Oryctolagus cuniculus: one gene and its partners. The main gene of each other region encodes a partner of the protein of the gene in region 2 in a complex. Links are inferred from orthologs where the notes say so. Each region holds a gene or a part of one and is shown on either strand. Other genes may lie near its edges.

Region 1 (3,960 bases), on a different chromosome or scaffold from region 2:
CGCTCTGAGACCTGCGCCCCGTGGGGCTCGGCTCCCCAGCGTGTCCCGCGACCCCCATTCCGTGCCGCCGCGGCCGCTACACTGCGGGGAGGCGGGGGGCTTGGCTTGGTTCTCCATGGTGCAGTCAGGAGACCCCCATATTGCGTCGCATCATTGTCCACAAAAACAGAGGGACCCCTTACTGCGCCGCCCACGGCCACTGCGGAGACCCCAGGAGCCACGGGGGTGGGCGATGCTAAAGTGCCTCGCCACGGCGGACCGCGGCAAGTGTACCCAAGGCGTTTTACAAAACAAACTGTGCGCTCGCTCTCGACAGCCCCCCTCGCTCCTCATCCTCCTCCCTGCCCTTCCGGTGGGCTCACGACCACCTGTCGCATTCCCGCGCGCGCACGCCACTGTCCCCGGGCATCTAGAGCCTTACGCTTGGCTCGAGATCTGGGGCTAGGGGCTTCGGCGCAGGGGTGCAGGGGTATCCTGGGGTGAAGGAAGAAAAAGAAAGCCCTCTGCAGTCCCCCGCCCCCCGAGGAGAGTCGGCGCGGGCGGGGAGGGAGCGATTCTGCTCCTGTTCTCCAGCATCCCGAGGCCCACGTCTTGTGTCACGTGTCTCGCTCGCAACGCAGGAGAGCTTTGTGTGGCCAAGGGGAGAAGCGAGGAGAAAGGCTCCAAATCAGTCAGGGAGAGGCGTGGAAGGAGCCCAAACGTCCCTGCGAGGCCTGCGCTCGCCAGCCCCTTACCCAAAGCCGGGCCGGCGGTGCAGGGAACCAGCTTGGCACCGGGACCTGCGTCCTCTGGTGGCAGAGAGAGCGCGCGACTGGCGATTTTCGGACCGAATCGGCACGCTCCTCAAATCCAAGCAGTCTGTGTTGGCCTGGAGCAGAGAGAGAGAGAGAGAGAGAGAGAGAGAGAGGAGGGGACGAAGGCCGAGCAGGCCGGGTGGGGGCCTGAGGGAATCACCAGTGGCCAGGAAGGAGCCAAGACTTCACCAGCCAGAACTGCACTGCCTTGGCCATGGTCTGGGGTTCTAGGCCCTGAGTGCGCTCGGGAAGTGAGGCCGCAGAACTTCCCAGCTGGTACTTTTTTCTTTCTTCCTTTCAAATAATTTTTTTCACCCTAGTTCGGTTGGGTGCTCCGTCTCACGGAGCCCCCACATCATTGTAAGAGGCCGCCACCGTGTTATGGGCCTGCGCTACTGCCTCGACGGCAATAATATGTCAGGACAACGCCATCTCCCCCCTGAAGTCGGGGAGCAGCCTCCACAGCCAGCCTTGGAGGCCCCAGGGCCAGCTGCCCCCGGTGCTGGGCCTGGCCCAGCCGAAGAGATGGAGACCCAGCCGCCTGCCAGCGAGCCCGTCCCCGCACAGGCTGGCGCCGAGGCCTGTGAACCCCCTGAGGTCTCCGGGGGCACCCTGGAGGGCCTCGCCGTGGCAGCTGACCAGGAATTCGGAGGCGATGGAGGCTACAGCCCACCTCCCGAGGAAGCCATGCCTTTTGAGGTCCAGCAGCCCAGCGTGGGAGGCTTCTGGCCCACCCCAGGGCCCATCGCAGGCCTCGAGGCCTCTGTGGATCCCGGAGTCTCGGGCAGTGCCGGGCCTGGCCTGGGAGGCTACAGCCCCCCACCAGAAGAAGCCATGCCCTTTGAGTTCGAGGAGCCTGCTGGCCAGGGAGGCTGCAGCCAGCCAGCATCGGGGGTCCCCGACCTCGCTCCCGGTGGCACAGACCTGGGGGTCCCTGGAGCTCCTCCCGGGAAGTCCGGGGCGCTCAGGCCTGCCAGCGCTGGCCTTGGAGGAGGCTATAGCCCTCCCCCCGAGGAGGCTATGCCATTTCAGCTTGATGGAGAGGCCTTTGGGGACGACAGCCCACCCCCCGGGCTCCCCCGAGCGCTCCCACAAGTTGCCAACGGCGACGGTGGCAGCAGCGCGGCAATCGCGGTCCCGAGTGCGGTCTGCCTCGCTCCCGCCACCGACGCGCCACCCCTCTGGGTCCCAGAGGCTGTCAGAGCTGCTGCTAACTTCGCGGGCGCCAGCCCCCCGATGGAGATCGCCGGACCCCCGCTCGAGATGCGCAGCGCCCCCGTCGGGGTCGACGACGCTCCCGTCAGCATGGACAGCCCCCCAATCGCGAGTGATGGCCCGCCCATCAAGGTCTCCGGAGCCCCAGATAAGAGGGAGCGCGGCGAGAGACCCCCAGTTGAGGGTGAAGCAGCCGAGATGGAAGGAGGCTCGGTCAGCGCCTCTGCGGAGAAAGGAGAAGTCCCCTCTCCGGGGGACGGAGCCTCGGGCGCCCCAGCTGGGGCCGCTCCCGCCGCCGGAGCCGCTCCCGCCGCCCCGGCGGAGCCCGAAGCCGGGGGAGCCCCGGCCGCTCCTGGCACTGCGGCCGCCGGGGCAGCCCCGGCCGATGCCGAAGCCGACGCCGACACCCGCGCAGCCCCCGGCGCCGCAGCCGCTCCTGATGCCGGGGCAGCCCCTGCCGCCGGTGGAGCCCCTGGTGCCCCGGCCGAGCACGCCGCAGCCGCCGGGGCCCCCCAGGCAGCCCCCGCCGCGCCTGCCTCCGGGGCCAGACGCAGGCTCCATCTGCTCAGACCCCCCAGCCCCGAGATCCAGGCTGCTGACCCGCCTACTCCGCGGCCTGCTCGCGCGGCTGCCTGGCGGGGCAGAGCTGAGCGCGGCCGAAGCCGCCGCCGCTACGACGACGAGGGGTCGACCAGCGGCGACGCCGACTCCTCCAGCGGGGACGAGTCCGAAGAGCGGGCCGCCGGCTGCTTCCACTGGTTCCAGCGCCGCACACGCCGCCGCCGCAAGCCCCGGCGCAACTTGCTCCGCAACTTCCTCGTGCAGGCTTTCGGGGGCTGCTTCGGTGGTCGATCTGAGAGCCCCCAGCCCAAGCCCGCGAGCCCCAGCAAGGCCAAGAAGGTTTCTCTGGCAGAGAAGCGCCGACAGATGCGCAGGGAGGCCATGGAGAAGCGCGCCCAGAAGCGCGCCGAGAAGAAACGCAGCAGGCTCATCGACAAGCAGCTGCAGGCCGAGAAGATGGGCTACATGTGCACTCACCGCCTGCTGCTTCTAGGTAACGCGGCGGCGGACTCTGCCCAGGGGCAGCAGCCCCGCCGGGGACCGGGGAGGGGGCGCGGGGCGCGGGGCTCGGCCGCGGGAGGAGGGGGCACGGCCAGGAAGTTCCACGGAGGGACCCTAACTTTGCCCCGGGCGCGGGAGGGGAGCTGGGGCGGGTTCGGGTGGCCGAGGTGTGTGCCCTCCAGGGAGAAAAGTGGTGCCGAGCGACACTGAGGGTCGTTTCCGGCTGGACAGGCCAGCGCCAGCGACCGTAAGCTGGACAGGCGGGGGCTTCAGGTGAGCCGGGAACTGCCGGAAAGGGGCGCCCACTCTCCGCCGGCTTAGGTTTGTTGGGGCCGCGGTGGGCTAGGGCCATCGGGGAAGGCGCGCCCCCGCCTCGCCTGGCACGGCTTGTTCTCGGCCAGCTTGTCGTTGGTGTGTGTCGGTGTGCGTATTCTCTGTGTCCGCCTGTGCATGACACGCTCAAGTGTTCCCCATCCCCGGCAACCCCCCCATCCCCGGATTACCCGCCGACCGTGTACTTGTACTTGGGGACGGGCTGTCGTGATGCGCGCCATGGCGCGGGCTGAAACTTTGCGCGTCTGCACACTCGTATGACACCTGTGCGCCGGCACTCCGCGGCGGAACCCGGCTGGGCCACCGGCCCGGGGGGGCGCCTCGGTAACCTTGTTCCTCTGTGTCTTTCTCTCTTTCTCCCTGTGCGCTAAGTGTTTCCTCACTTCTCATTCGTTCGCCAAACCCTCCCGCCTTTACAGTTGAAAAACCAGACACGCAGCACAGGTATCTGGGGCATTGGGGCTGCACACTGGATTTCAGCATTGCGCACAAGCACACTCACCTGGAGGGGGATGGGAAGTGGCTGGGGTGGGGGATGGAGGACATCTAGCCTGCT
Region 2 (5,638 bases):
GATGAGGGGGTGCAGCTGGTTCTGGAGAGACTGTACAAAACTCACAAGGCAACACAGATGGCCCCAGCTCAGCAGGAGGTGAATGGTGATGGGAGTGGGTATCTGGCAGGGTTGGCAAACCCCGCCCCTCGGGCTGTGGTCTTCATCTTGGAGCTGGCAGGGCCTGGCTGCTGATAGTGACACAGGGGTCTCTAGCGGTTCTGCTTTACTAGGCAAAGGCAAACGCCAAGGTTCTGCTTCTTTAGAAACTGGCTAACATCCTCACCCCCCCCCCGCCCCCACCACCCCTGCCTGGGGAGTAGGACTACCCGGGACCCCCGCCCCTGCAGGAGGCTTAATTGTCTCTTTGCAATCCTGCCAGTCTCATAGATTTGCTCAGGCAACCCAACCCCTGAGCCAAAGTCAACGCCAGCTGGGCCAAGCCCTGCCCAGCCCAGGTCCGAAGGTTCACCAGTTCCCAAGAAGGGGGCCTGGGAAGAGAAGGTGGAGGCACAGCCCTGCTGGGGGCAGAGCGTCGGAACTCTGTGTGCCGGGGTGCGCTGGCGGCAGGTGCAGCTTCCTTCTGGGGCTGCGGCAGTCAGGTGACAGCTGCCGCTGACAGCTGCGGAAGACACCTGCATCTCCAAGGCTGGGGCAGAGTCCAGCCCCAACTACACTGTCACTCTAACCTGTCCTGAGGACTCTGTGGCTGCCCTCCAGAGCCAGCCTCCCTGGAGGCCGTGTAGGGGCCCTTCAGGCCAGTCGAATCCTATTCATGGTTCAAGATGCTGTTAATAACATCAGCAAACACTACGTCATCTTGGTATGCGCCAGGCCCTGTTCTAACCTCCCTTGATGAATCGTTGGTTTAACCCTTCTATTTCACAGATGGGGAAACTGAGGCTGGTGACTGGTAGCACCCGCCCGCAGCGCTGGGGAGCGGTGCACCCTGTCCTCCTGGCCTGAAGGCGATTTTGTTGCTGCTGGACTTTGTTTATCCCTTCCTGACAGTGCTGGGCACACCCTGTTTTGTAGGCCAACTGCTGTGTCTGAGTCCCTGCCAGGCTCTGCAATCTCCAGCTGCCGGCTCAGGTTGGGGAGTGGATTCAGGGCTGCGTCTCTGGCCCTGAGCTCTGCTTCACCGGAGCGCAGACAGAAGAGAAGGAGACTGGGCCCTGCTTTTCGGGAGGGCACACTCAACCTCAAGGAATCACAGCACAGCCAAGGCCGGGCGGTGACCCGGGACCAGGGCACAGGTCAGCAATCAGATTAAGGGAGGCAGGAAAGAGAGGCTGGAATGGAGGACGTGGAGGGGAGCCCCTCGTGGGAGGCAGGACAGGGCTGGTTTTCCGGGGCAGCATGGCTGGGGAGACAGACAAGGGTGCTGGCCATGAAAACACCTAGTACCTAGAAGTACTTGTTGTGGGCTGCCCCCTGGGAGTGCCCCCTGGGACTGCACCCTGTGAGCCCATCCCAGAGAGGCCACCACAGTCCATCATTGTGTGTCACCAGGCCCATAGAGACACATTCCAGGCTGGCTGTGGGTCCACTGGGGGCTGTGACCCCAACAGGACAGCCTGGGGTGATGGATGGTGAGGGAGGGTGGGTGCTGTGTTATAGACGTGTGTGCTCAGAGCCACATGCACTGACACGTGTTTCCTGGCAGGCACATGAGATCCCGGACACACATGCAAACATACATGCATGAATGCAGGGACCACTGATGCCAGCAAACAGGCACAGAGGGACATGTAGCTCCCAGACATGCCCAACCCCCCACCCCCACACACACCGCCGACATTCACACCAATGACACAGTCCCACATGGACACACAGAGACACAGAACACCAGGAAGGCACGTCTAGGCACATCCAGGCTTAAACAGACACGACATATGCCCCCGAGCCACACAGACACTCTCGTCAAACCCAGAGCCACAGACAACCCCAAACAGACGCAGGCCAAGAGTGCACACCTGGATGTGCACAGACACACATAGGGCCCCACGCCGGTCGCAGGGAGACCCACAGCCCACGGACCCATGCCTGCCCTCCCCAGGATCCCAGGCTGGCTGCCAGGGGGCAGGATGTTGGCACGCGATGGGCACCCTGTGCCAGCAGTGACCTCATGAGGATCACGAGGGTGGTTGGCCCCTGGGGCTTGGGAGGCACTGCGGTGGGACTGAGAGTCTGGGTTCTGGGCCCCCAGGGATGACCATGATCCCACCCTCTGGGCCTGTCTGCAGCCTGGTCCTGCCTCCCTGCCGGGGTAGGAAGGGGTGAGGCACACGGTGGGGGTGGGGGAGACCTGGGGGAAGAAAGCTACATGCATCCACTTATGGTGCAGGAGGCAGAGCTGGGGCACCAGGGCCAGGAAGAGACTGTCAGTCTCAGAGGGGTGGCAGGGACAAGGGAGCCAGGAAGACCTCAAGGTGCTCCCTGCTGCCAGCCAGGCTGCTGTGCGAATGCAAGCCCTGCCCCCAGGGAGACGGCCCTGAGTCTGCTCCCGCCTGCAGCCATCCTCACGTGCCAGTCCTCAGTGAGCTTGACCTGGACACCCCTGGACCCCATGGGCGGCCTGGCCCAGTGCCTCTCACCTCCTCAGCCTCTTGGCTTCTCCCACACTCCTTACCCTGTTGAGTCTAGCTCAGCCCCAGGCCGCTGAGCCAAGTGCAGGTGGTCGACACCTGTCCTGGGACTCTGCCACTGGGTTTGGGTAGCTTGACAAGTCTTCACACTGCCAGCCTGGAGCTCTCCCAGAGCCCCTGGGCATGAGGGGCACAGGACCCTGTGGGCTCAGCCTCTGGGAATGAACTTGACTTGCCTAATCACCAGGATAAAGAGCCGGAGTTCACCGGACCTGCTGGGGGTGGGTTGGGAGAGGGAGGCCAGGCGTGTGCCTGGGGGTGCCTGTGTGCCTGTGTGTGCTCTCTGTGTCTGAGTGACAGCGCCTAGGGTGTGGAAGAAGGAGCCGGGCCTCCCCGGCTTTCCCCGTGGGGAATGTTCTACCCCCACGCAGTCAGTTGCGCCTTCTTGCTCTGGATGGCCCAGATGGCTCTGAGCTTCTTGTAGGGAGTCACAACCTGAATTTGAATGTCCCCTGCTCTTCCTCTTCCTCTGGCCCGGGACAATGGCCTATGCCTGGGTGTGTTGTGCTGGGGTTACATCTCCCAAGCCCAGCGCCAGCTGCTGGAGTGAGCTGATCCAGGAGTGTGCCCCGGCTCCTCTTTGGCCAAGGATTGAGGAGCCTGTGTGCCCTAATGATCCAGAGACCCCCCGTCTGCTGGGCCCCAGGCCTTCCACCCTGGGGGACAGGAGGCTGTAGGCATCACCTCCACTTTTCCTTGAGCTCCAAAAGGAGAAGGGGTTTCAGGCACTGTTTGGAGCCCCAGTTGAGTATGTTCTCTTTGGGAACGTGCGGGCCTGTTAGTCCTTCCTGCTTGCTTCTCCCCACACTCACCACCCGGCAGCTCTGAGGTCGATCCCTGTCCCTGGTCCCCATCCCACACACAGGGAACGAACCTAACTCAGGCCGGGGCACCAGGCATGAGGATACCGCGGGCTGCAGAGGCCCTCACCTGCTGTCTCGTTCTCCAGCTGCGCCTCCTCCAGGCACTGCCTGTGCTGCACCTCGATCATCTGCAGGTAGTCACACTCCTGCTGCAGCCTGGCTGCCCGGCCGCCCTGGGGACAGAGACAGGGAGGAGCCGTGAGTGGGGCACAGTCCGTTTCCTCATCTGCAGACTCCAGAGCAGGGCCTGGCCACGGAAATGACATTGCATTCATCCTACCGGAGGTCCAAGTTGCAGACTGAACCCCACTCCCAACTCCAGCCTAGCCCCCGACTGACCCCTGAACCTGATCTGACCCCAAATTGTTGTCCATTTTTCCCAAGGCTGGGTCTGCCTTGGGGGGCCCTGGCATGGCTTCCTGGTGGCCCCTGAAGAGTGCTGCAGCTGAAGTAACTCCCTCTTTGCAGGTGGCCAATCCTGTAGAGAGATGGGAAGGCCTCTCTTCAGAACCCTAAGTTGGCCACTGGCCTCTGCCTCTCTCCAGCTTGACTTGGGAATCCTCTGTCCCAGCCTCAGTCTTCCTGGGGGAGGGTGTGGCTCAGCGAGTGCTGTCTTGTCCTGGGGAGTTGGATCCTGGCCCCCAGTTTCTTAGGCCACTCTTAGAAATATCTAAGAGTCTCTCTGCATTTCCAGCCTCTGCTCCATTCCACAAGCCTATGCTTAGACCCCTGCCCACCTGGCTGGGGAGGGGATGCTGGCTCTCCTTGCCCAGACCCCACCTACTTCCTTTTTGGTTTTCTTAAAAATATGTATGTATGCATGCGTGTGTGGAATTCAGAGGCAGAGAGAGAGCCCATGCGCCCATCCGCTGATGCACTCTCCAAATGCCCACAACAGCTGGGCCTGAATTGGGGCCAAAGAAAGCCAGGAGCTGGAATGTGATTCAGGTCTCCCACATGAGTGGCAGGCATCCAAGAACATGAGCCATCACCACTGGGCATTCCCAGGGTGCACATCATCAGGAATCTCGTGTCAGGAGCCGGGATGGACAATGAAACCCTGGGCACTCCAATGTGGGATGTGAGTATCTGAATGGCTACACCAAATGCCAGGCCCTGAGTTTCAAAAATATACAGGTTGGAGCAGATCTCGGGAAGGTGAGGGAAGGTTCCAGAAGGTACAGAGGCACCTGCGTCTGGAATGTGGGGAGGGGGGTGCAAAAGCCAACCTGCTCCCCTCCCTCCCCCTGAGCACTGTCCAGGGATTAGAGGAGGGGCCAGCCCAGTGACACTGGGGACACTGGCTCTGGGGCAGACATGGGGGAGGGGGTGACAGCTGTCCAGGAACATCTGGAAAAGACCAGGTCTTAGGAGCTCTTGGGTGGGCAAGGCCTCCGCGGAGGAGCCGATGACTGGTGGCAGCTTCTGCCTGTCTGTTTGACTTTAGGAGAGTGGCTGAAGCCCCACGTCGGAATTTTCACCTCAACACCAGAGCCCCCTCCCCGCTAGGGCCAAAGGAGAGGCTCCAGCAAGGCTGCTCCAGAACTGGAGATTCTCAGCATCGCCTCCAACTCATCTCTTCCACCCTGGGCCTCAACTTGACCTTTCTGCTGATTCAAGGGTTTCTTGAAAGCAGTTAAAGGGAGAGGTGAGGGGGTCTTTCCCTCACTTCCTGTCTTTAAGGGGATCCCCCCCCCCCAACTTGGCCTGCAGCATCCAACTGCTTTGTACTCTGACCATCGTTCTGACTAAATGAACCGTGGTGAGGGACATGCATGCCAGATAGCAGTGAGCCCTCAGCTGTGTGGAGGGAGAGGGGTCCAGGTGAGGCTGGTAAACTCCATGCCTAAGAAGCCACACAGCAGAGTTCTCTCATTCCACCACCATGGTTCTCTCATTCCTCGTTGAAGGCCCTGGGGGAACCTCACAGACTCAGAGGTCACCTGTGGTCCAGCTCATCCCAGTGTAATCAGTGCCGATGGCTGGGCAAGCTCCCAGCTCCAGGGAAACCCAGGATGCCCCTGAGACTTCCTCAGCATGAAGACCACACCTGCCCATGTGCCATTGATCTGGAAGCCACACGGGGAGCATGGCTTCCACCGGGGATGGCCAGCTGCGGGAGGGGGTGGAGCCATGAGCCGCTAAGTC
Region 3 (6,190 bases), on a different chromosome or scaffold from region 2:
TGTCCTTAACACTCTCTCCATTGTGGAGTGCAACTTGCTGTAGCTTTACTAGGGATGATACAATCTGTGATCTCGGAACTATGTCCAACAGAATATAAGCGAATACTGTGTTCTTTCTGTTTCTTTTTTGTTTGTTTGTTAACAACCTTTCTATATGAAAATCATGTATAGCTTCGAAAGCTGCAACAAATCAGGCTGAATGAAGTCAGAGAAAGGAAACCCGTACTGTTATGCTAGAGGAGTAGCTTCATGGTGAGATAAAATTAGACAAACATATTTCTAAAGTATGTATTTGAACATAAGACTCAATAAAAATAAACTCACCTAGATACATCATAATAGGGTGTGTCATTTTCAGCTAACACATTTTGCAGGATGTCAGTATCTGATTTTAATGAAACCTGATCAGGTTCATTTGCTCCTTCCGGTTGTATTCTGTCAGCCAATGTTTTAGGGAAAAATACATTAGGAATTAGGAGTAAAATATATTCCTTTCCTCCTATGGTAAAGCAATCATTTGAAGTAAGATACTGAAAATTTGGAGAAGTATCACCCATTTCCAATATAAGAATAGCATACTTTAATTCAATGTACTCTATGATTAATGATAATATGAAGTGAAAACTTTTATTAGCCCATAAAATAAATGTTATAAAACTTTTATAAGATGTGTGTACAACTTGTAAGAGCTACTTTATTCAATCCTCTTGGAACATTAGCAAAGTACACTTCCTTGGTAAATGTGTTTCCCCAAGAATATATTCACTTTTTAAAGTCAATATTACAGGCAGAGAAACATTTACAAAATAGAAACTTGGAAAAATGTAATAATATTAAAACTGTTAGCAATTTTTGTATTTGGTTTTTTAGTATATTTGCCCTAATCTCTTCAGAGCTGAATATCACTCACTTTTCTCTCTAGGTATCTAAGTTTTACTTCAAAGATTTACCTTAGCATGATATATTTCTCTGTATTTAACAAGTCCAAGTAATCTCTCTGTCTATTACTAGTTACTCGAATTCAAGAATTTGTGAGACCTTCTGATAAGTGAAGAAATACAGTGACACATGGGAACCTAAGAACAGTTATGCCTACCTATGAAATAGGACTATATTTGTAGGTATATGCACATTCTTACCACCAGCACACCATTGCATTTATGTATGTATCTTTCATGATATAAAAATTGATAGTAATGAGCAGTCCTCTGTGAATCTCAAGTCATGTGAGTAACAAAAACTTTAGCATACTTCAGATTATTCCTTGTTTGTCATGAAAGCATTCCAATGGACCCATTCTACTAAGTTGTCCATGAACTAGAGGAGATAGCTTTAAACAAATTTCATAGATAACACTTACAGGCTAATAGATAATTCACTATATGGAACTTAAGAATACCTTAAGTAAATGATCAGAAATGGACAAATAAGCAAATTGTTGTTTTCCCTTAAAATATGGTGGTGTCTATGACTTTGAAGGAAAAATGAGTTTAACATATCCTTCATTTATTGTTCACTTACTTTGAATACATTTATTTTACGTTAGAAAGGCTTTAATTGTGAGTTGCGTACTTTACTAATTTGAAGTATGGCATATAGTAACATATAAAACACTAAAACTAAGTATTTATAATTCTAACCTAATACATTAAAATGTACTAATAAAGGAAGTATTAAGGAAATGGGTCTCAATTAAAAAGTTATTCCACTATTTTAATATTAGAGAATAAATCTTTCCTATATACAGATCTTTCCAATATGATTTTATGCATGTTTCACTAATAAACTAATATGTACTGATAGACCTTTAGAAAAATTTAAAAGGAGTTTGGCAGCTAAACAGCTATTTTTCTATCAGAAACTGAACTGAATTGAACTGAGGAAAGTTTATTACTCATCTAAAACTGGTTCTGAATGAATGGAAAGTCAAATTGCCATTCATGTTTAGAAATGTGACCACTTGACCTGTAGAATTAATCAGTGACACTGTTTGTCATGCCTGCACACAGGATTCATGACCAACCTGTCAACTTGATGCTGAAAACATCTTGCTCAATACACAAACCAAAAGATTTATGTGCATACTTCACGATTTTAAATGTTGAGTTGTCGAAAATAGCATGTAGGGCATTGCCATTTAGACAAAGAATGAATGTTCAACTGATGAATTACAAGAGAAACTTGTCTGAAAAGGACCTACCTTAGAGTTCCTGGGGCTCCGTAAAGTGGCCATGCCAATGTTTGCGAGAAGAGCACACTGCAAAGTATCAGGGACACCAGGAGCTGGGGCTTGTGTCTGCTTTCCATTTCTGTGCCTCTAAAGAGAGAGCCAGATAAGTCTTTCAAATCCACATGTCATGAGCAAGGCAGTGCTGTGTGTCTAGAAATAATTTCTGAAGTTTGTTGAGGAGTTTAAAAATAGTTTTCATGTTGAAGAGATAGTTAAACTGGGTATGATTACTCTTAAATGAAGAAAATTTCTCTTGGTGACAAGCATTTGAAAAAAATTAGGATGCTTTTCATTGGTTGCTTATCTTTCCCCAGGCACTTAGCCTAAGAATATATTGAATATCATACTTTATAATAGAGTTGTAGCATCAAAGTTAAGTATATTTTCTAAGGAAATCAATTCAAGAAATTATTTTTTCCTACTTTAAGCCTTTAACATCTGGTTAATATAAAACTGGAATATAATGTATTTAAATATTCTTCTACTCTGGTAAATTATATATAAACATGTGTATACAGTGTGTATCTATGAATATAATGTACATATATATACTAGAACACAACATTTTATAAATACATATTTTCCTCTCCTAGTTGTAGATACTAGCATAAACTTACTTCTTTGTGTATTAACACAATTTTGGCCTAGGTTTAAATAAATTAACTGAGAGAAAATTAATATTGATAAACTCATTGAATCACATATTGTTATTATGTGGTTCATTATGCCACAAAATATATGTAAAAACAAAGCTTATTTTTCTTGCACTTGGTCCACTCACTTCATTTATAAATAGTTTCTAGATATAAACTTAGAAGGACAAGGTCTGTGTTTTCTTTTTGCTGTATATAAAAATCACAGCATTTAAACTTACAGAGGAGAAAAAATGTGTTCCAAGTTCACTTAACCAACATGTGAAATAGAAATAACAGTTCTTTCAAAAGAAGTTGAAGACTTCAAAAACAAATGTACCTACTGAACCCTTCAGTCAATATATATATATATATAAATATATATATATATATATATATATATAGTCAAAAACCCCTTCTTGGGTGTATTTTTTAAAATCAGTATTAAGCAAAATAGCAGGAGGGTAAAACATCTTCCAATGAACATAATTCTGAAAATTCATTCTATTCTTACCAGGTGACCTGAATTTAATATACCCCAAGAAGAGTTCCACAGGCAGGAAACATAAAAAGGAAAAGCAAAGTTTTCACTTACCTTGCTGGGTAGCGTTCCTCAGGGACCTGGTGTTCTGGAGCTGTCCAAGGTGCTGAAGTTCTGCGAAGCCAAGAAAGGCTCCACCAGTTCTCTGTCCGTAGCACTGGCTAAGGGTTGGCTGTTATTGCTGGCTACTGCCCTTCACTCTTCCCTGACCAGTGTTTCAAAGCCATCATTTTATAGGCTTATACTTGGGCTGAGCAATCACAAAGCTCCCTGAAAGACGTCACAGTAATACTCCCACGAGATGAATAGGGCTTGAAGTTCATATTAAATTGTCATTATGTCTGATTTATATAAATTTGTAGTGAGTAACTTGAGGATCTTAGATAAAAAGAGGAAATTTGCTTTTTTAAAAAAATGTACCAAGCTTAATGTGAAATGTTTTGATATTTACTTTGTCTTAATGGAATAAGAGAATGATTATGGTGTTAGAGCCAGGGCTACTGGGGTTCCTTCAGATAATGACTTCATGTGCAGGAACAAATTGAGAAAGCTACAAATACTTACGTTCATTATGCTTATGAATGTATAATTATCTTTTATTACAAAGCATCAATTCCCCTAGTCTTTCTTTCTTTCTTTTCTATTATTCAAGCAGATCCTTATTTAGTCCTTCTTGAAATTTATCCTAATTTTAAAAGCATCTGGAAATAATTTTCCCTTCTATTAATATGTTTTCTTTTTGTTGAAAATAATCTTAAGATAAAAGTTTTCAGAAAATCTCCAAGATAGAAAAATATGTTGTATGAAACAGTAGTGCAGTTGCTGTTTCACATATGCATAAAATAACGTAATTCCCAATTCACATCTCAATATGATATCAAATGATCACTCCTAAAATTCTTCTCAGACTCTATCCCTCAAAGCACTGAATTTCTCTTCCTTTTAATAATTATCTATATCACTTTATAAATGCTTGCACTATGTAGAATTATTTCACTTTCTACTCCCACTCCCCCAACACACACATATGTGTGCAATAGTTTTTGGAAATTTCTGATTCAATCACTTTAAATTATGTTCAAAGATTTATTTGCATTTGTAGAGCATTTTGATAAATACTTAATTTCTTCTTGTGAGTTCCTTGATTACAGTGGCTTAGTGTACATTCAATCAGAATTTGAGATAAAAGTGGAACTACAGGAACAATTTTGTGTACAACAAAAGAAAATACTATCTTTCCTTTTATTTAAAAATTCCTAATGAGTGTATTCTTTTAAATTTTTTATTTGTATGTTCCACAAGGGAGAATGGCTGTAAAACCTTCTTTCTTCTTTAACATTTTAGTATCTATTTGCTTCATTCAAAGTCAGACTGATCCAGAATATCTTGCTATGCTTAATCATATTTTATAATCCAGTTACAAGAAAAATTAAATGAATTAAATTTCAAAATGTCTGGAAATTTGTTTCCCAGTTGACAGCTCTGACTTAAACCAGAGTTCCTGTGGCTTAATTCCAGGAAATCTTTTTTTACCTGATTATTACAAACTAGAGGTTGAAATGGTTCTCATATGGAATTTTTTATCTTTAGCTTTTCGTCACCCAATCCTCAGTGAATCAATTTTATTTAAGAACAGCAACAGCAATGTAAGTTGATTGGGAGTTACAGACAATTGATGCTGAATGACAAGCTGAAATTATATAGAAGAAAAAACAAAATTCATTATTACTTTGGTCGAAGTAGATGTTTTCTCCCATTATAATAATAAAACATAAAAATAAAGAGATGAATTGAATTTTATTACTTTTTGGTAGAAAAAAAAACACTAAAGTAAAGACCTGCATTTTTTTTCTAATGAATTTAAACTAGAAATCAAAGCTATTTCAAAATAGGATCACAGCACCATCTGCAGGTTCAAAGTCTTAATTCATAGATTTTAATAAAATCATCTGAGTACTTTTTCTCTTCTTTCAAGGAAATGAGGTGTAAATGAATCTTTAACCAGTCGAATTATAGATGCTTCCAGAAAAATAATCATAAGAAAAAATACTGAAATTAAATTTATCTAGAATATTTTATAATAGCACTCAGCAAATGCAGCTAAATCTGCTTTATCTTTCCAAAAAGTAGGAAATGAATTTTGCCAGAGTTGGGTAAATTATGGAAAGATATGTCAAAATGAAACAAATTAGATACAGGGAGATCAGTTGGAAGGGGTTTTCAAGGTCAGGAGATTGGCAGAAATTCAGAATCACTCTGATTGCCAGTGCAAAAGCTAATGGAGGCTCTTCATCCTCTCAGGGATTATTTTCCCAAGCCATGCCTCTGTGTGGCAGTTTGCCTGTCTAACTAACTCACCCTAACTCATACCCAGCCACGAGACCAGAATGTGCCATGAGACGTGCCGTGAAAACTCTGAATTATTAAGCCTTGATCTGAGGGCTTCAACTATTGGCTAAAAGCCCGAAAGGCCCATCCCTCTGTTTTTTATGTCCCTCAAGCTAAGAATGGTATTCATATTTTAAATGGTTAAAAAATTAATGAGTGGTTTTGTTACATATGAAAATTATGTGAAATTTAAATGTCAGTGTCCATAAAATAGTTTTTTGGAACATGAAGATGCTCATCATATATGTGTGGTCTAGGATTGCTTTTGTGTTACAACAGCAGAGTTCAGCAGTCGCAAAGAAGACTGTATATTTTATAAAGACTGAAATATTTGTTATTTGGTCCTTCACAAAAACAGTTTGCCAGTTCTTGGTGTAGAAACTCCTGTTTGTAAGACAT
Region 4 (4,395 bases), about 48 Mb from region 2:
AAGATGAGAAGCATGGACAGCACTGGAGAAAAACACATTGTACTTTGCACCCATTTCCAATACCCAGCGCCCAAAGTCAGGCAGTAGACCTGTAGTGGGACTGGATTTGCCCCCAGCTTTTCAGACCTGGGATAGCTCAAACCAGTCCCTCTTCAGGATCCTCCTCCTACTGCCTTATGCTCTGCCTCTTCCGATATACCTCTATCTCCCTCACTTTGTTCCAATTGCCCTAACCTGGGAATAGTAATTTTCCCTGGTGAATCAGGAGGTACAAAAAAGAGGGCTCCCCATCCTGAGCCTCCTTCTCTGTACAGTTCCTCAACTGTTCACCCAGGGAGCGGTGTGAATTCTGGGGGTAGGGGTGAAGCACAATTTGGATCGAGCTGTTGTTTTATTAGGAGAATTTCCTTCTGGGCTGAGAGTCTAAAAGAGAGACAAATACACAATAAAGTAGAATCAAAGAAAGTTGCCACCCAGCCAGGGGGGACCCTGCCCAGTTGAGTCATTTCGGCTGGGGTTGAAGCAGCCTGCCCCAGAGACTCACCAGGAAGAACGCCCTTGGGCAGTTCTCCAAGTCATTACCTCAAAGTCTCCCTGGAGCAGGGCATCATTGTTTATGTACAGTAGCAAATGGTCAGTATTAATATCTTCAGGCCTGTCGTGGATAAAAATACTATCCTTTTAATTCGAGTTTATAAAAATAGGAGTAATATTCAAAACAATGATTGTCTATTTTTCTATGTATTTTATATAAAAACATAAACAGCTCAGGCGAATTTTCAATCCTTGTGCACACTTTGTATGAATCGCTCTCTATTATATAGATATTCTTTTAATATATTTATAATATATATCAATAATTGGTCCACAAAGTATATCTGTGCATTCTCTAGTGCTTTGTAAAAAGAAAAACAATATTATTATCAAAATATTCATTTAATGGCTTTACTTCATACATAAATACATGTTTGGATAGAACATATGAGCAATGACTGTTCTGTCAGTTTGGAAAACGACTTTTCATTGTGGCAGGGTTTATACACAGGGTAGGTGGTAACTCTTCGCTACAAATACGCTATTCTGCGTCCTTTGTTTTTAACCCTTTGTTTATACCTTTTCCCTAGGACGGCCGCCAAGTATTTCTTAACAGCCATTTGTTTCCGGTAGCGACTGTAGCTGTCTGTGAAAATCCCGTCCGAGTGGCGCTTGGAGAGCGGCTCCAAGTCGTCCTCCGGGCCGCCGCCCAGGTTTTCACTGCAAAACAAAACAGAGCAAACAAAAAAAATAGGGGGTGGGGGTTCGGGAAGAAGGTGGCGGGGCGGGAGACACACGTTCAATACGCGCAGGGGAGCAGGCGGTCCCCACCCTGCTGGGGGGGGGGCCTTCAGGGAGGGTGTGGCGCAGGGCTCACACCCCCTACGCGCCTCCTCCCTCTGCCCCCGACAGGGCGCAGATGGAAACCCCTGTCTGTGTTCCTCCCTCCCGCCCAAGATTTCCTGGCTCTAAGTACTGCAGAAGGCGCCCGGGATGCGATCGGGGCAAGCAGAGCAGGAGTGCAGCCTAATCTTTCTCCCAGCGCTGCCCTTGGAGATTTGCCTTGGCGCTAAATTGTCCTCAGTGCTCCTCTCACCCCCGACATACAAAGAAATCACCATAGAGCCCTGCGAGCCACGATGGCCGCTGCCGGGCAGTTTGTATCGATCCTGCAATTCCTAGGCAAAGACAAGCACGCCTCTCCTTCCACACGCTAAGTTGAAAAACGTGATAATAATACAAGTCGACAGGCTGTGGGCAATATTTTTCACCGCATGAATTATTCATTGCGAAAATATAATCTGTTTTCCCAGGGGTTTTATTAAAATGTTGCCTTCTGCTGAGATACGCTGCCCGCAAGCCCTATGCTCTGGGTTTGTCTGGCGTGAGCGAAAACTGTTTGTTTCCCTAAGCGTCCAAATTTGGTGATTTGTTTATTTCGATTTGAATTTACAGTAAATGCAATTCCCCCTCTCAAAAAAAAAAAAAGCCACGCTTAGAGGAAATTACAGCAAATCCTCCCGCGAACCTTGGAGGTTTTGAATGACTGGAAGGGAGGGAGGGAGTGTTTGATTTCTTTCTTTTCATTAAAAATGGATCAAACTCCGGTTCGCCTGCCCTCTTTCCTTCTCCCCGGACCTCGCGATCTCTGGACCATACTTAAGGAATCATTTCAGAAACTCCGCCCACGGCAGGTGGCTGGTACCCGCCCCCACCGCGCCCCCAGGGCGCAGACTCAGCCTCCGCTGTACCTGCACGCCCCAACGCAGAAGCCGCGCCTCCTGCCCCGCGTGCGCCCTGCGCGGACACCCACCCGGCGCGCGCGGCATCACGCGTCAGTTAACTCTTTCGCAAACTCTTACCCCATGCCCTTGGCCATGAGAGTCTGCAGGTACTTCCTGGCGGACAGCTGGTCCAGCACCTTGCGGTAGGCCTTGTTAAGGATCCCGAGGGCTACATCTCTAACAGGGAGGCAAAGTGCCCAGGGTCAATGACTGTGCCTCCGACAGGCCGCCCGAGGCTACCCTGCCGGACGTGTGCGCCCCAGGGCTTTTAAGGAGGCAGACTGGGACCCCAGTGGCACAGCATTTGCGAACAGGACTCTTGGGGTGTACGCAAGCGTAGATGCTAGGATACGAAGTTGGTCCTGACCTCTTGGGAATGACGAGCGTGAGTGTGGGCTCCCCACATGCCCAGGAGCGCACTCACTGACACTTGGGCTGCGGAGCACTCCCGCCGCGGCCCTCAGATTCGTATTACACCCGCCTGCTACTAATTCTCCAGCCTGGGAGAAGAGAGGCTTGAGGATCTTTATGAAAAAGAACCTACTCGTTGGGTCACTGTCCTGCACCCCCACCCCGCCCCCTCCGCCCCCTTCGGCGAAGACCCCGCGTGGTACCTCCGCTCCCCAGGGTAGTACAGTGCATAGGCATCATGCAGCGCGGAGGCGGGGCTCCCTGCGCCGGGAGGGTCCGAGTCGTAGAAATCTTGCAGGGGGCTTCCGTCTTCGTCGTAAGCCTCGTCCTCTGGCCTGCGGGGTAGCCACAGACAGAAGGAGTGGTCAGTACAAGTCCCTCCCAGTCTGCGATGACCCAGGAAAAGGGGCTCTTCTTCGTTGAGGTCCCGCATCGAGAATTGTCCTCTCTTCCAGAACAAGAGTGGGGGCAGGGGTAAGGAGAAGGGCACCCCCACCCAAAAGCAGTTCCCACCCCGTGAGGCGGTTCGCCCACCCCTCCTCTCATCGGGAAAGGGTCGTCCTGCGGGGCCCTGGCCTCAAGGAGCCCTGGGAAACCCGGTTGTCTGCACTAACAGCGCACACCTGACCACCGAAAAGGACCGCCCCTCGCCCCGCGTGGTGCCCGAGCCTACTTCAAGTAGCCACCCGCGGGGCCGTGAGAAGCCCTGGGAGACCTCGCGCTGATCAACGCGAAGACCCGAAGTGGAAGGCCTGGAGCAGAAAGGAGAGGGTGGGAGGGTCGGGTGCGCGGCGATCAACTCCGCCAGCCACCCCCATCCAAGCCGCCTGGCCCAGGGGAGCGCTTCCCCGCGCAGATGTAGGTCACGGAGAACCTCTAGCGTCTATTTTGGGCCGGAGAGGATCTGGCAGGAACATGAATAATAGATGCCCCTAAACTTAGCCAGTTTGGCGGCGGTTGGTTTTGTGGTGTGTCCGCGCCCTCAGGTGCTTCTTGCCCGGGGAAATTGCCAAGCACACAGAACTTCGAAAATAGTTGGGAGTGAAATAAAGGCTAGTGAATCCTCTAAATAGTTCGCACTACTCTGTTCGCGGTGGCGAGACGGTGGGACCCGATCCCAACCCCAGAGTGCAGGAAGTCATCAGGGGACCTGATAGCCAGCAGGGACGTGGCGACCTCGGCCAGCGCCTCCATCCGGGATACGGGACGGGAAGCGGTGGGTCAGAACAAAAAAACCATCGCTCTGGAACGCTGGGGAGTCTCGGAATGCGGTCGGGACAAGGAGCACTTTCTAGGCGAGGCTGAACTCGTAACTCCTCTGGCTTTTCCTCCATCCCTGGAGAGGCCACTGCAAGGCGCGCTCAGGTTTCCGCACGCCCCACACCCAGCCTTCCACAGCGACGCGCCTCAGCCCTGGCCGTGGTACCCCGAACCCCGGGTCTTTCTAGCCACCTCCTGCCCTTTCCTCCGCCCAGATACTAGAATCTGAATTCAAAAGGTGGGACTCTTCTCTCTGGCCTTGGCGCACGCTCTAGGGCGCGGCTCACAAGGATGGCTTTTCCGGCAGAGCGCGCGCGCTCCTGGCTGCTCAAAACGCCACCGAGTGCGGACCCAGAGCGCTTCCACTGTCCGGTGCACTGACTAGAGACTCTGGGGCTGCGGTGAA

Evidence for each region.
Region 1: the proteins of VIPR1 (region 2) and GNAS are in contact, whole or in part, in a cryo-EM structure (PDB 8E3Z), measured with the Homo sapiens proteins. The link is inferred for Oryctolagus cuniculus from reciprocal best matches to the Homo sapiens genes VIPR1 and GNAS. Residues at the interface, in NP_004615.2 of Homo sapiens: Arg174, His178, Tyr239, Leu240, Leu243, Leu244, Ala245, Val246, Ser247, Phe248, Arg252, Leu319, Lys322, Leu323, Pro326, Asp327, Ile328, Arg329, Lys330, Ser342, Leu345, Leu346, Leu391, Asn392, Gly393; in NP_000507.1 of Homo sapiens: Gln35, His41, Val217, Phe219, Asp323, Arg342, Asp343, Leu346, Tyr358, Pro361, Phe376, Cys379, Arg380, Asp381, Ile383, Gln384, Arg385, His387, Leu388, Gln390, Tyr391, Glu392, Leu393, Leu394.
Region 3: the proteins of VIPR1 (region 2) and VIP are in contact, whole or in part, in a cryo-EM structure (PDB 8E3Z), measured with the Homo sapiens proteins. The link is inferred for Oryctolagus cuniculus from reciprocal best matches to the Homo sapiens genes VIPR1 and VIP. Residues at the interface, in NP_004615.2 of Homo sapiens: Glu36, Cys37, Val40, Ile43, Asn69, Phe90, Leu92, Phe93, Tyr118, Ile120, Asp125, Asp126, Asp132, Gln135, Thr136, Tyr139, Val142, Lys143, Tyr146, Tyr150, Arg188, Lys195, Phe200, Ser202, Glu204, Ser205, Gln207, Cys208, Met219, Phe222; in NP_003372.1 of Homo sapiens: His125, Ser126, Asp127, Ala128, Val129, Phe130, Thr131, Asp132, Asn133, Tyr134, Thr135, Arg136, Leu137, Arg138, Lys139, Gln140, Met141, Ala142, Val143, Lys144, Lys145, Tyr146, Leu147, Asn148, Ile150, Leu151, Asn152.
Region 4: the proteins of VIPR1 (region 2) and ADCYAP1 are in contact, whole or in part, in a cryo-EM structure (PDB 8E3Y), measured with the Homo sapiens proteins. The link is inferred for Oryctolagus cuniculus from reciprocal best matches to the Homo sapiens genes VIPR1 and ADCYAP1. Residues at the interface, in NP_004615.2 of Homo sapiens: Glu36, Val40, Ile43, Asn69, Leu70, Ile89, Phe90, Phe93, Ile120, Gly123, Leu124, Lys127, Asp132, Gln135, Thr136, Tyr139, Val142, Lys143, Tyr146, Tyr150, Arg188, Val192, Lys195, Phe200, Glu204, Ser205, Cys208, Phe222, Gln223, Val226; in NP_001093203.1 of Homo sapiens: His132, Ser133, Asp134, Gly135, Ile136, Phe137, Thr138, Asp139, Ser140, Tyr141, Ser142, Arg143, Tyr144, Arg145, Lys146, Gln147, Met148, Ala149, Val150, Lys151, Tyr153, Leu154, Ala155, Val157, Leu158.

What each region holds. Positions count from the first base shown.
Region 1 is NC_091442.1:3,426,355-3,430,314, reverse strand, and holds the start of GNAS (guanine nucleotide-binding protein G(s) subunit alpha isoforms XLas), read left to right. Parts: upstream 1-1,160; 5' UTR 1,161-1,175; coding exon 1,176-3,063; intron 3,064-3,960. UniProt on the Homo sapiens protein: Guanine nucleotide-binding proteins (G proteins) function as transducers in numerous signaling pathways controlled by G protein-coupled receptors (GPCRs).
Region 2 is NC_091441.1:105,425,533-105,431,170, forward strand, and holds part of VIPR1 (vasoactive intestinal polypeptide receptor 1), read right to left. Parts: intron 3,664-5,638; coding exon 3,558-3,663; intron 1-3,557. UniProt on the Homo sapiens protein: G protein-coupled receptor activated by the neuropeptides vasoactive intestinal peptide (VIP) and pituitary adenylate cyclase-activating polypeptide (ADCYAP1/PACAP).
Region 3 is NC_091436.1:15,089,056-15,095,245, forward strand, and holds the start of VIP (VIP peptides), read right to left. Parts: upstream 3,623-6,190; 5' UTR 3,458-3,622; intron 2,318-3,457; 5' UTR 2,308-2,317; coding exon 2,201-2,307; intron 436-2,200; coding exon 325-435; intron 1-324. UniProt on the Homo sapiens protein: PHM-27 and PHV-42 are two bioactive forms from proteolysis of the same precursor protein, that cause vasodilation. PHM-27 is a potent agonist of the calcitonin receptor CALCR, with similar efficacy as calcitonin.
Region 4 is NC_091441.1:57,533,614-57,538,008, reverse strand, and holds part of ADCYAP1 (pituitary adenylate cyclase-activating polypeptide), read right to left. Parts: intron 3,065-4,395; coding exon 2,933-3,064; intron 2,496-2,932; coding exon 2,397-2,495; intron 1,255-2,396; coding exon 1,065-1,254; 3' UTR 1-1,064. UniProt on the Homo sapiens protein: PACAP is a neuropeptide involved in diverse array of physiological processes through activating the PACAP subfamily of class B1 G protein-coupled receptors: VIP receptor 1 (VIPR1), VIP receptor 2 (VIPR2), and PACAP type I receptor (ADCYAP1R1).